2 linked regions of the Drosophila melanogaster genome follow. The protein of the gene in region 1 interacts with the protein of each later gene in a biochemical or structural test. Each region holds a gene or a part of one and is shown in the gene's direction. Other genes may lie near its edges. The genes, in order: pio and Np.

Evidence for each region.
Region 2: of the proteins of pio (region 1) and Np, one has a biochemical effect on the other in vitro, tested with the Drosophila melanogaster proteins (one study listed by BioGRID).

What each region holds. Positions count from the first base shown.
Region 1 is NT_033778.4:24,579,622-24,586,537, forward strand, and holds the start of pio (piopio), read left to right. Parts: upstream 1-1,623; 5' UTR 1,624-1,747; exon of another isoform or gene 1,748-2,219; 5' UTR 2,220-2,457; intron 2,458-6,916.
Region 2 is NT_033778.4:9,002,565-9,009,612, reverse strand, and holds the start of Np (notopleural), read left to right. Parts: upstream 1-3,025; 5' UTR 3,026-3,124; intron 3,125-4,236; exon of another isoform or gene 4,237-4,609; intron 4,610-7,048. Other genes in the region: CG8172 (uncharacterized protein), read left to right, coding at 389-910, 1,118-1,295, 1,364-1,742, 1,827-2,042.

The sequences.
Region 1 (6,916 bases):
GTGGCTAAGTTTCTTGCAACAACGATTGTGATTTGATAAAAGACCTGGACAATCTACACACATTGAATTTTTCTCAGATTTAATTTGCTAGTAGCTCCACACGGCTATATCAAGGTTAATACTATAAATTCGGCTGGAGTTAATAAATTTTCCGGACGCCAAACAGTGACAGTTACCCCGGCTACGTAGTCCTGAATCCCCCGGCCGCCTTTTGGGAATCGGCCTGGTCCCTCCGGAACTCCATGTCCTGTTGCTGTTCAATGGGGTGGTTTTCGGTTTGTTCGATTGTCCCCCCGACGACTGTCGCTTGGACTTCCCCTTTTCGACGGATTGAGGAGTTGGAAAATTTTTTATTTAAATTTATTTATAGTCAATAAGGTGGGCAGGCCATGCTCTTAAGAGCTTGCTTAACTATTTTAACATAAATATATAATAAATAAATAATACATTTTAAATTATTTAAAAAATTTCCACTCATAAATATATGCTTATATTTTATTTGTGTAAAGTACCTATAATGCCAAATGGTGAGGGATTTACCCATCCCAGTCCTTGTAGAATTCTCTCACGTCTCAAAAGAATAATTCGTCCACTTCATCCAAGTTTTCCCCACACATGTATAACCGAAACAGAGGAACACGCATAATAATAATAAATATTGATAGAACTAAAGTATAAACAGCGACGGGCAGCTTCAAGGGAAATACGGCAGAAAGTAACAACAACTCGGGGTCTCCGAGGTGTCACAGCTACCTGTACTCGCACCTGGGATCTCGAGGTTGCAAGGGCGCTGGGTTCACAGAATGTAGAGACAAGTTCAAGATTTATGTGCCTACCGAGTAAAACAAAAGAAGAGCAGCATGTGTCCCACAGAGAAGCCTCGTCAGTCCAAGCAGTCAGCCCCACCAGTGGCCATATATGCCGTCATCAAGGTGTTCTGGTGACAGCCCACACACTGGCCATAATTGCACCGATCTGCTGCCAAGTTTGAGCAGAACCTGACTTCCAGTTGCGAGCGCACAGCTGTGGCCGAAAGCATGACGTTGGCCTGGAGGCGCTCCAAAGACACTTGGATACCACCTGGATACTTGGAAACTTAGTCTAGAGTGCTTCGAATCAAAGCATTTTTATAAATTTTAATCACAAACAAACATTAAAGAATATGGCAAAAAATATTTAAATTTAAAAAAACCTTAGCTAGGGAATATAGGGTTTTTTGTTGAGGTTTCCAGCCCAATGTTTCTCTATGTGCACACTTGCGATATGGGATGACCGCCGCCCGACCCTCTAATTATGCCGCACTCATTAGAAAGACAATCTGGACCCGCAGCCGTAGGTGTATTAAAGGGAGCCAGCGGAGCGTGGCCGCCAGTCCCGCCGGTCATCAAGTGCAGCTCAGCTGGACGACGTGTTGCTGCTGTAAAACTGGCAGCGACACCGCGGCCACCGCCAATTGAGGCGATACTATACTATGCCTTAGTGAAGAGATCGTCGGAAGAGCGCACATAGACTTGCCAATTGCTCCGAAAATCCCAGAGCGCCGCCACTCCGAATCTTGGCAAGACCGGTTGTCGGCCATCGTCTTGGCGTTTTCGTCGGAGTGCGAGTGGCTCGGTTTCGGGCCCAGTCAGTCTTGGCCAGGTCGGTGTGCGAGACACATCCACAGCGCTCAACGAACCTCTATCCCATCGATCCCATCGCTTCGATTTCGATTGCTATTCCGATTCGTTTCGATCCCGAATCGTGCGTGAGTTTTTCGAGTGGCGTAGCTCTGCGGTTATGGCTCCGTTTACCCGGTTCTAATTGGATCGTGCGTGTGGATTTGAAACGGCTTTCCGTGGCTCCAAGAGACGTTCATGGGTTTCCGAGATTTGAAATAGTTGCGGTTGTTGCTGTTGTGCCTGTGATGTTTCTGTCGTGATTTTCTCTGATTGTTGTTGCCCTTGGGAAGCGATTAAGCTCGACGGGTGGTTGAACCGGGCCAGTAAATACGTGCTGAATGATTTGTGAATCTTTTGAATATTTCGCGTTGTTTTCTGGGGAAGTGCAAAAGTGTCGGGAAGTTTGTTGCCTCAGTCTTTTGTGTTGAGACGGCGTAATAGCAGCAGCAGCAGCAGCAACAACAACAGCTCGGATTATTTGCCACAATTCGCACAAAGAGCAGCTCTTAGCGTCTCTTTACCACTCTTGGCCAACTCTTAAATGTGCAATTCCCGCAGCGTTAACATGTAAAACGAGTGTTGGCCACAAAACGAAATAATTATAGAGGAAGCCCGCAAAAAAAAAAAAAAACACTTAGGAAGTACATAAAAACAAAATCAAACTAATGTGAAACCAAAATTCGTGAAAATATCTAAAATCATCATCGTTCCGGGCAACCAGTTTAAGGCACAGCGAAATCGCAACAACGGACACATAACAAATTGGATTACGCAAAAAGGGCGAAGTTGGCTAGAGGTGAGTGTTGCGGAGTTGCTGTTTGAAAAGCCATAATCGAATAACCAGAAACCCGAAACCCGCAAAAAGAAACAGTTAAAATCAGGCAGAAAATCAAAGCTGTGCCGTTTGCAAAAACAAACCCAAAACAGCCTTAAAAGATGACTTCATAAATCGCCGACGCTGTGGATGTGCCAAAAATCCATCAGCCAAACCGGTTGGCTTCACTTCGCCTCGCTCGAAATTCGGAATTCACGGAATACCAATACTTGTACTCGGGGGAACAAATTGAAGAAGCGTTGCAATCTGTTTTCTGTGCAAATGAAATGGGCCTTATCTGAAAAGCGGCCTGAGAAGCCATCTGTCCGGGGATCTGAACCTGTTTGCCAAGGTTGCCAGTGGCCGATGTTGGCTGCCAAGTTCGCAGCCAGTTGCATCATCTGGGGACACAAATATGGCCGCGATGGGGTTGGCCATCGGCAATTGGCTATTTGAGTAGCCACATCACGGACATCCGTCTTCCATCCGCTTTTCCTGCCTTCTTTCCCGTTTTTCAATGCCCATTTCTGGATGCGCACCGCATAAGTAATGTGTCATCGGGCTCTTGGAATCAAAGGTCCATTCACATTTACCCCCACTCCGTGTGCGGCCATTATAAGCCAGAATCTGTTGCTAATTGGCTGACCCAACATTACCCACATGAGCTGAGACCGGGTTCTTCTCCTTGTGGAACTTTTAGCACTTCCACGGATCACACAGCCATAATTATGTTCGTTCCATTGTGTTCGGGTTGGCGTCTAAAGAAGCAATTAGAAATGTTGATTGATGGAGAGATGAACCCCGAACCCATCCCGATCCGACACTTGCATCATCTTTGGACTATGGGAATGTGATGCACGGCCTTTCCCTTTTCGGTGATGCATGGCCTATTAATTGGTTAATTTGTGGTTTGTTAGCCATCAAAATATTGTAGTTGGCCAATGTAATGGTCTTCATCTGCGTTGAATACAACGCCTTGACTAGTGAATAATGGCTCATCCGCCAAAGGCGTTTATCTCCAACTTCTGTTGGATATTTCCAAGTTCTCCGGCATTCTCGGAAAGCTTTGCGTCGAGGAACGCCAACGCAAGCGTAAAATTTGTATAATTAAAAGGCGAATCTGCGCCCGAGCTGCTCGAATACCAGTTTCTGAGCCATCGTGTAGTTAACTTGTTTATATAACAGCCAGACAACAACTCGCAGTGACCTTGAAGCGGGCACAAAATAAGGTAAAGACGGAAAATATGATTGTACGTATAATTTCGTATTATTTTGCTGCCTGGCGATGTGTGTGCTCAGCTAAGTGAGAGAAGTGAAGACATATGACGGATTTTTGGGGGTTTATGAACTAAGCCGAGAAATGCGTGTGGGCTTGATTGCCAAAAGCTGTGTGATTGATTTATAATCTCCCGCGGAAGAACTAACAAAGAAAGCGCCAAAAATGGTGAGGTCATTCAACCAGGCCAAGACCTTTTCAGCGTTAGATTTCCGCCTGCTCGTTGGTATTGATTTACAGTTGAAACGAAAGACTTAGGCAACGAACTTCGCGACTGCATTACTCATACGACACGTTGGCGCTCAGCACTAATTATGCAAAAACCCAAATGCTAGCGAAAGGCGTGCCCCAAACCCAGCCGTGAGTCACAAGCTTCGCTTGCCCCCCGTTAAACGGACACTCTGCATTGGGTTGCTTGTTTGTTTTCGGCCAAAATGAAAAGTCGTCTGGCTAGTTGATCCCCCACTCTCCAGCCTCCTCCACCACCACTGGCGAATTAAACCAACATTGGCAAACTCAAGCGGACTTAAATGCAGGCTTTTACCTTAGATCAACCCCACGCAAAACCCCGCGACTGCAGTCGACCGACCACGAGGTTGTTCAATTCATTCCAAACACTTTCAAATCCAAGCCTTAAAAGGGGAGTGGCAGGCCAAGACTTTTGAACTGCGGACTGTGCTCGAAGGAAGTGGGCACAGAACTGTGGCCAATACTTGGTGTGTTAAGTTCTCAGACACTAAGATATAAGATAAATAAATTATTGTAATATAGTAGCGATCGTCTATGATATCAATGTCTAAGTTTAGCATTTATGACACTACAAGTGATTTATCTCAGTGAAGTTCTACGCTCATTAACTTCAAGTACGAGACTATTTATGGTTTAGAGGAAATCCTCCTCAAAAGTTAGTTACTTAAGTACTGAGCCGAGGAAACTTGCATAAACTTATTATGGGAAACGTAAGGTCAGCTCGGCCTGTCATTAATAAGCAATGCCCATTTCTCGAACTCATCAGTCGAGTCCCTCATCACAAACAATAATTAGCTTTAAAAAAAAGGGGGCTCAATGAATAAGTTTTAATGATGAATTTGGCTGATTCTGACCAGCAGTAGCTGCCAATGTACGAGCAGCTGGGAGGCTGGATTTTTAGTACTTCTAGACGCGAAACCCCAGCCAAGCAAAAACGGAACTACAAAACTAGTTTCAGCTGTGCCTTTGGGCTGAAAGAAAAAAAAACCATAAAAACAGCGGGTAACAATGGGCGCCAGTCAAAAGGCAAAAAGCACGGCAACAGCAAAAAGAGCAAAATAAATGGCTGAAACTGAAATATTGTAGACCCGGCTGATAAAAATCAAACACATTCATGTCTACAGCTCAGCTCAAGTCACGTTCAATGCGAATTTCTTTGCCGTTTGTTTTTTTTTTTTTGCTATTTCGTACATATTTTTTCTTCGTGGCAATAAGCAAGCCTGCGGCCACAAAAATTAGGCGTCAAAATGGGAGAGAAAAATATATTTAGGCAGCGCCGCGGGCCGAGCGATTGTGGGTGTCCAATCAGCGGTTTGCATATTGGCCAGTTGGTTTGAGCCCAATTGGACATCTTGACAAATGGCAGAGAAGCTCGCCATTTGCAGAGAACTTACATAACTTCGTGACAGCAGCAAGAGCAGTGACACGCAACGCATTGGGCAGTTTTTGGTCTTAAGCCCAAACTTGGTTCGCACAGTGTGTGGCAAGACCCGATGTCTCCACGCTCCAGTTTGATGCGTGTGGCAACAACCAGGTCAGCGCATTTGGCCAAGAGGGTGGAGTTGCGTTTTTCCACTTTAAGACCCCCTAATGATGCGCGATTTTCGAGTTCTCACATTGCCTTAATGGCCAATTGCCCATTAGAGCCTGGTCGGCTGTCGTTGGCCCAATCTATTAAATCTATAAACGGAATCGGCGTTGGCGTTTATTGCAATTGGCCAACAGCAAATTAACAGCATTGTTAGCTCATTTGAGGCGAACAATGGCTGCGGCGAGACAATTGCACTGACCTTGGGACAATCGCCGGGTGGCTATAGGTTCGTTCCGATCCGCTGGCTCTCGGCTACCTACCTGACTAGCTATCAATCCCCCATAAAGTGCCAGCTAATTGCTGCATCTGAAGTCGCAATTTAAAATTCTAATTTCCAGAAACAAAGCAGAGCCTGCATACGCAAGCAGGTGAAAGTCGATGCCTCAATTGCCATTGATCTCCGACGCTTGATTAGCCCCAGCCCGCTGGCCAACTAGAATTTCGGACCTGAGTAAAAGTAAAAGCTGAGCCCGAAGTCTGGCTATAAAGCCGCTCTGACCTCAATCGGCGAATGGCCATAGCTGCCCTTTTTGTTCGACTCGTTAATTGCCGTCATTAAGAACAATGCGGGACAATCGCACAATGCATCTTCGCTCCGAAGTTCGCTTCAGTCTTCGGTCTTCGGTCTTTAGTCTTCGGAGGTCGGCCTTTAAGGCCCTAACCCGCCCCAACTTACTTTCTACGCCAGCGGAATTGCAGCGAAATTAGCTCTACGCATCGCTATGCTACACAGGAAGAAAGTTTGGCTCGATATGTGAATGCCATTGTACCTAGAAGACTATGGCAACGTGTTGAATTCGAAGTATTTGATATTAGCGGCTAACACTTACCCTCCTTACCTTAATTCTTATTTAATCAATATGTGAAATCTTCAAATTGATCTCGACATGACAAGACATTTTTCTCCGAGTGTGATTGATCACACTACGTCGCGATGTACGACGAGATTTCCCATTTTAATGGCAAACCGCAACCGAAAGTTGGTAGAACCCCACACATCCCCTCCACCACCACCATCAGCATAGTTCCAAATGGGTCAGCCACGTTATGGGTTTCTATGGGTTTGTGTGCTTAGCACAGTTTCTGTTTGTGATTTGCCAATGCCTTTGGCAATTCAGATTGGAACCAGATCTGAGTTTCGAGATGGGAGTCGTCAGATATTCTAATTGACTGGCTGAGGTTTCCAAAGGTTCCCAGATGTGCGCCTAGATTAAAGTGGTTCACCCAGATATGTTGATGGATCGGCGAGAGGTCGGTTCCCTTTAATTATCCACTTCATTGGGGTTTGGATTCGGATTTATTTGGAATCATTTCCAAATACTCAG
Region 2 (7,048 bases), about 16 Mb from region 1:
CCACCGAAATCTTTATTATTTTGTTTGCTTTCAAATGTGGGAAAAATCACAGCGCCAAAGTTACGGCATACCCGAATCAGGCCGAGATCCGAGCTCTGAGCTCCGAGCTCCTCGAAAGTGTTAATCAAGTCATGACGCCGTTCTGTCCACCAAATGGCTTTCGGATTGGTTTGAATTACGTGCGAAACACCCGAACACCCAGTCTTTGTCTTAATAGCCCCACTGACCAGTCTGAGCCCAAATTTTCAGCTGACATAATCGCATTCGTATTTTTATTACGAATGCCGACCAGTTTTTGGGGGAAAGTCTGACACCGACTCCGTTGGCAATGGTGACCTCTGGAGTCGCTGGCCAGACCATCATCCTGTATCCCAATTCTCACACACAGGCGACATAATACACTTGCATGACATTTACCCCGACCTGTCGACGAATGCCAACAAGCCGCAGCACCACCTGCACCACCACAGTGGCAACGGCCTGTCAGCGGCCCCATCCACATCGTCCACAGCGTCCTCCTCCGCACGACCGGCTTACCCAAGCAGCTACTACGGCACCAAGCGACCAACCCACTACAGCGGCTCCAATCCCTACAAGCCAGGCTCCTCCGCTGGCGGATCTAGCCGCCCATCCTCCTCCTCCTCCTCCAGCCTAAACAGCTGGGAGCACGAGACCGGTGGCCACCTGGGCTCTATCAGCGGGATCACAAACCACCTGGACAGCTTCTTTGACGCCGAGTCACAGGCGCCCTTGGACTCCGCCGGCGCACCACCACCACACGAACCGCTGCCCAACGCACAGGCCTTTGCGGTGGGCAATGTCCTGGACCTTAATGCTGGAGAGGCAGCAGACGAGTACCAAAGTGGAGGCAGTGGCGGCTACCACGACGCCAGCTATCGTCCAGTGCCGGGTACAAAACCACCACCATATCACACATCTCTCTTTCTGTGGCACCACTGCAATTGGTTCTTTTAAGCTGCACCACACAACCACTCACCACTCACTCACTATGTTGCTATCCTAGTTTCTGTAGATCATTTCTTGACTTACTTTGGTGCTCTATTGGTTGGATCAATGAAGTTACGCTTACTTACTTTATATATATTTCTATTCCCAGGCTGCGGCGAGGTCTACACCCGATCCAATCGCATTGTAGGAGGACATTCCACGGGCTTTGGCTCTCATCCCTGGCAGGTGGCGCTGATCAAAAGTGGGTTCCTCACTAGGAAACTCAGCTGCGGCGGTGCACTGATCTCCAATCGATGGGTGATAACGGCTGCCCATTGTGTGGCTTCGTAAGTACAGCAAAAATTGAATGGAAATCTTTTCAAAGCATACTTATATATCTTTGATTCCTTCGCAGCACTCCAAACTCCAATATGAAAATCCGATTGGGCGAGTGGGATGTTCGTGGTCAGGAGGAGCGCCTAAACCACGAAGAGTATGGCATCGAGCGAAAGGAAGTGCATCCCCATTACAATCCGGCAGACTTTGTAAATGACGTGGCTCTGATCCGCTTGGACAGGAATGTGGTCTACAAGCAGCACATCATACCCGTCTGTCTGCCTCCTTCCACCACCAAATTGACTGGTAAAATGGCCACTGTGGCTGGGTGGGGGCGAACCCGACACGGCCAGAGCACAGTTCCCTCCGTACTGCAGGAGGTGGACGTGGAGGTGATCTCGAATGATCGCTGTCAGCGATGGTTCCGGGCAGCGGGTCGCCGAGAGGCCATCCACGATGTGAGTAAACATTGGCATAGACTTAAGACCGGCATAGGTCTTCCCTTAAAAAAGATCTACATTGAGCAACTTCTTTTCGTCCAGGTCTTCTTGTGCGCAGGCTACAAGGATGGCGGCCGGGATTCGTGTCAGGGCGACAGTGGTGGTCCACTAACATTGACCATGGACGGTCGCAAGACCCTGATCGGATTGGTGTCCTGGGGCATTGGCTGTGGGAGGGAACACCTGCCCGGCGTCTATACGAACATCCAGCGTTTCGTGCCCTGGATCAACAAGGTTATGGCCAATGACAACGCGTAGGCGCCAACGCGCAGGTGTGCGTCCGCTGCGGAGATGCATGCCGTCAGCCAGGCCATGTGATTCCTCTACGACTCGGGGTTGCTAGTGTGTAAGACCGAGGTCCTTGGGGCCTTGTATTTATTTTATCATACTCCACATCCTAGGGTTCCTCGACTCAATCAGTCCAACCGTTCGATCCCTCCACCCTTCATTCGACTTCATTGCATTCCACGCATTCTATTTAAGTTTTCTATATTTATTAAACACTGTTCGAATAATTCCTACATTTGCGATCCACTTTCACTGACATCGTATTGATACCAATAATTATGTTTTAAAAATAAAAACAAAATGTACCAAAATACCATGGCTTTTTATTGACAAACGTCTGATGTGAACATCAAAGATAATTTTAATTACAACTTTTTAAAACTTTATAAAACCTGCATTAACTCGCTGAAATTCATGCAACAGAATTTAACTTTTACATTGCAATTTCCATTTGACGTGGTTCGCGTCTTGGGTAAATAAAAACAAGCTGCATACTTTCAGGCAGCATCTCAATCAATATACAGATGATGCACAAAGAACATGATTTCGAAATGGTTTGGAATCTGTGTTTATCTTGTTGGGCAAATAAGAAACAGAGGCAGCAAACATTAGCCAGAAATGCCAGAACAGGCACGAACATCAAACAGAGATATCTTCTGAGATAGCGCGGGAAATCCAAAACTGGGTCCATGGCCGTGCAACAGGTGCCACATGCTGAGCATGATCTGAATTTCTAATGAGCCCGACTTCCGCTGGCCACCAAGCAGTAACCAATGACCAGTATCATCGCTGGGCATCAAAACTCAATAACATAATCAGGGGGAGAAGAATCGAAAAGGAGCTTATCAGCAGCTCTCCTCTCTCACCAGGCCTCGCTCTTAGCATCCACATTGGCATCCACTTCTTCGGGCAATTGGCCAAAGAATCGGGGATCGCTTGGCTTTCCAGGCCTCAGTTGCTGTGGAGCAGCCCCAGTGTCAAGGTCTCTCGAGTTCAAGGAACGGCCAAAGACACGCGTCATCGCCAAGTCAGTCAGTGGTTGATAGTTAATTGTGCGTTTTGTTTTGCTTGCTTCATTAAACAGAGATGTTGTGAGGCGCGATTCTTGTGTGCTGTATAAATGTGTTTCTTTGGCAGTCTAAATGGCCTTTTCACAAGACCTAATGATGTGTGGATTAGAGCGTGTGATGGTCGCAGTACCTAAACAAAAGAAAAATTCCTACAATTTGTGCATTGATTAAAGGACAAAAGAAGCTAGAAGCCAGCTTTAATTTGTAGCAGAAGTTCAATATTTCCCTTCCTGAAATGAGCAAAGTGTTTTTCCCCAGAAGTGCTGCTCCTTAGAAGTTTCTTCCCATACGTTTCTCGGAAAACGTACTTAAAAGCCAAGGAAGTCACCATGCAATTCTTATCAGCCAACTGGTTTGCCTGTGAGAGCCGCAGCATAATAAAGATTGACTTTCTTAACCTGACGACGTGCATAAATTAAAAGACAAACAAACGGTGGCCCCCCACACTCACACACTCTCACACTCGCACAGGTGACAAAGAATGGCGAGCAGCAGCAAAAACACACTCATTTGCAACACAAAATATATATATTAAAAGAAAAAGCCACGATGTGTGCATGTGTGCGTGTGTGTGTTTGTGCTGTCTTCTGCTTCTTGCTATTTTAATGTGAAAGCGCTGTTAACCCCAAACTCCCCCCGCCACAACCGCCACCACCCCCCGCCAAACACCTTGTGCCGCCAATCAGCTGTGAGCCGCCTCAAAAAGAGAGAGGTGGCCAAAAGAGAGAGAGGTTCATTTGAATAAGAAACAGAAACAGAAACAGCGCCTAGCTTTTGGCCGTTCTCGGTGTTGGCCTTAATGAAAACCGTTATGCGCGTAGCGCAGTCGACGCCGACTGCACGCATGCGCACATGTTGGTGGTTTGGTTTTGGTTTTGGTTTTGGCTTTGACTTTAACTTTGAGCCGGAATGAGCGTGCGAGCGAGAGAGAGAGAATCAGCTAACTTACCAATTTCGTCTTACCAAGTTCTTCAGCTCTGCCGGCGTGGCCAAATCTCAGTCGCAGCGGGCAGCGGCAGCGACGGCAGCAGTGCCAGTGGCAGAGGCAGTGGCTTCACCTGGTTTGTGGATCTTTTGTGTGAGCTCCACACCGCAGACGTGCGCAACTTGTCGCGCTCTTAACTTGGTCTTCTGCTCGTCTTCCGTCTTCCGCGACTGTGTGTGTGTGTGCGAGTGCGTCTGTACTCGGGGACTTAGCGAGTGTGCGTGTGTGTGTGCGAGTGTGAGTGAAATAATTGGCCTGACCCAAAGTCCCGAGGCAAGTTCAAGTGCAAGAATACAAGCCAAAACCAAAGCAACGAAATCCCAACCGGGAAAGGAAACGAATCTCGGGAAACAAATTTTCCCAGGCGGCTAACAGTGCTTTGTGTGATCTTTTTTTGAAAGAAGCGAAAGGTAGAACTGCGGAAAAAGGCCGAGAGCCAGTGTCAAAAGTGAAGAAACTCATAAAACGAACGAGCCACAAACGTAAGAGTTATAATCACACTCATATGGTAACAGCGAATTAAATGAAATGACCCAAAATAGCTGGCAGCAGTGAACCGAAGCTCGACGTCAACTGGCAGCCAACGCAAGTAAATGCAAAAGATCCGAGACTCAGATACGCATCCGCCAGATACGCCGGCTCTTTTTTCCCCTGTGCCAGTGGTTGTGCCCAAAGTGCTTGTGCACTTTCTACCGCGTACAAGTCAATTAAGCGCCAACTCACTGCGGTCACAGAAACAGAAACAGCAACAGACTCAGATGCATGTGCTAAGATACAGATACAGATTCAGATACAGATACCGAGCAGCCGATAGATGCGCATAACTGCAACTAACTGCACCAGCAGAGGCTGCAAAACAAGAGCAGCCAGTTCAAGCGCCGCAAACACGGCCAAAGCTCGAAACGAGTCCAAAGCAAAAGTCGCTCCCTCCTCTGTAAATTTATTGAAATTCCTGTAAAATGCAAGCGAGCCAAAGCGGCGTGCCACAAGAGTTGGGGCACCAGCACCACCACCACCACCAACAGCAGGAGCAACAGCAGCTTAGTACAAGTGTTTCAATTGCGCTGCCACTGCCGACTGCTTCTGCTTTTCCCTCAGCGACCGAGAAAAGGCAATCTTAAGCAGAACTTTGCTTGCTCCAGCTTCCTTTGGCTCCTCGGCAAACGATTTTTGCTTTTCGGTTTAAAGAACTGGTCTGATTGTGGTTATGCCAATGGCAAGTCGTGGGTAACAGGGGTTAGATGGACTGGGAGTTAATTATATAAGGGATAGTTTTATTCAGTTAAAAGTATCATACAAGCTGAGATTGACCAAATACAAGTGATGCAGTTTTTATGTTCATTCAGGTTACTCTATGTTAGATTTTATATATTTTGTGATAAGTACCATAGGGTCGACCCCCCTGCGACAACCACACACGGCTCTTCCTTATTGTTGGAGGCCTGCCAGTCCGCCTGTCTTTGGTCTAAAACGCACTCGACAGCTGGGAGGGCGGTGGGGGGCATTGGAGGGGTGGAGCACGTTTGTCTTGCGGCCACAGATGATCTGTAGGCAGTAGGAAGCCTGTTGCGTTATTTGCATTTCACGTTCTGGGGCCGCTCTGGTTTATACAGGTTTGCCGGGCAGATCGCCTGTCAGGAGAAGTTGATGATGGGGTGATAGGATGAGGCTGCCTGCGTAGAGTAGCGCAAAATGGCTCGCCGTAATTATTGTAATTTGCATTCGGCATTTGCAATTGAGAAATTGCCGTTGATGGTTGTATTGAACCTGCAATGGCAGCTGCTGAAACAATTAGGCGGCCCTCAGCGGCAGGCGATGCGCACGCCTGCCCATCGAGTTTGTGCCCTAAGTCTTTCGTTTTGAGCTAATGAGCTGGGCTTAGCTGGACAGCCAGATGGGGACATGTGGCCAGAAGCGCCAAGCCGATGGGCCTTGGCAGCCCGCAGCTAAGTGGACACAAGACAAAATAAAAAAAAATAAAAAAAAGCCAAATATACACAGAAAATTTCACCGAGCTCCGTTTTTGGTAAGCAGAAATGAAAGCAGCGGCCAGCGAGACGCACTTCTTATTTGATTACACTAGAAACGCAGTCGATGTGTATGTGGTTTCTTTTCATGAGCTAGTCGTTCCATAGCAAATGGCATAATTCTTTTGTTCAGCATTTGAAATTACCAACCGCTGCTGGCATTTCACTTTTCATTTAGGTAAATACTAAAAAAAAAGAAGCTACAAAGAAATTCGTTGGCTTTCGCTTTTACCCAGGGCTAACTCCGCTGCGAAATGTATTTTTAATACCAAACAAAACAAATTGTAATTTCACTTTTAACGAGCAAATGAAATTGTCACTTGTATCGAGTCGCGAGTGGAAATTACTTAATTGCCCATTAAACAAGGTGGAGCTGGAGGGACAGCCTTAACAATCCCCAAATCCCCCGATCTACCGATCAGCCGATCCGATGGAAATCATGCAAATCATCCGCTTCTACTGCTTCTGACCCAGATCCGGCCACATCTCGCTCTTCCCAGGCATTCTGGTTATCGCTCAGAAATTCATGTTAATTTGCACACAGAGGCAACGCCAACACAATTATACAGATACGCATACCGATATGGTCTGAACGTGACCCAAATACACAAATAGCTGGCCAACATTTTTGAGGCTGCGAAAAGCCAAACAATCGTGGAACTGGACTTGAAATCGTGTGTACTACAAGGCAATCTATCGGTTCGAATTCAACATCTAATTGAGGCATCCGCATGGATATGTTTTATGGCTTCCGTTCTTGATTACAGATTCCCGATACTGATTTAGCATTCGGGCTTAATTAAAGCCATTTACTCAGTAAGTTGCGGTCGAAGTTCCTACGAGCCAGGTTCAACGACCGCATTACGCAACTAACAGAAGAGTCGCTAACAATGA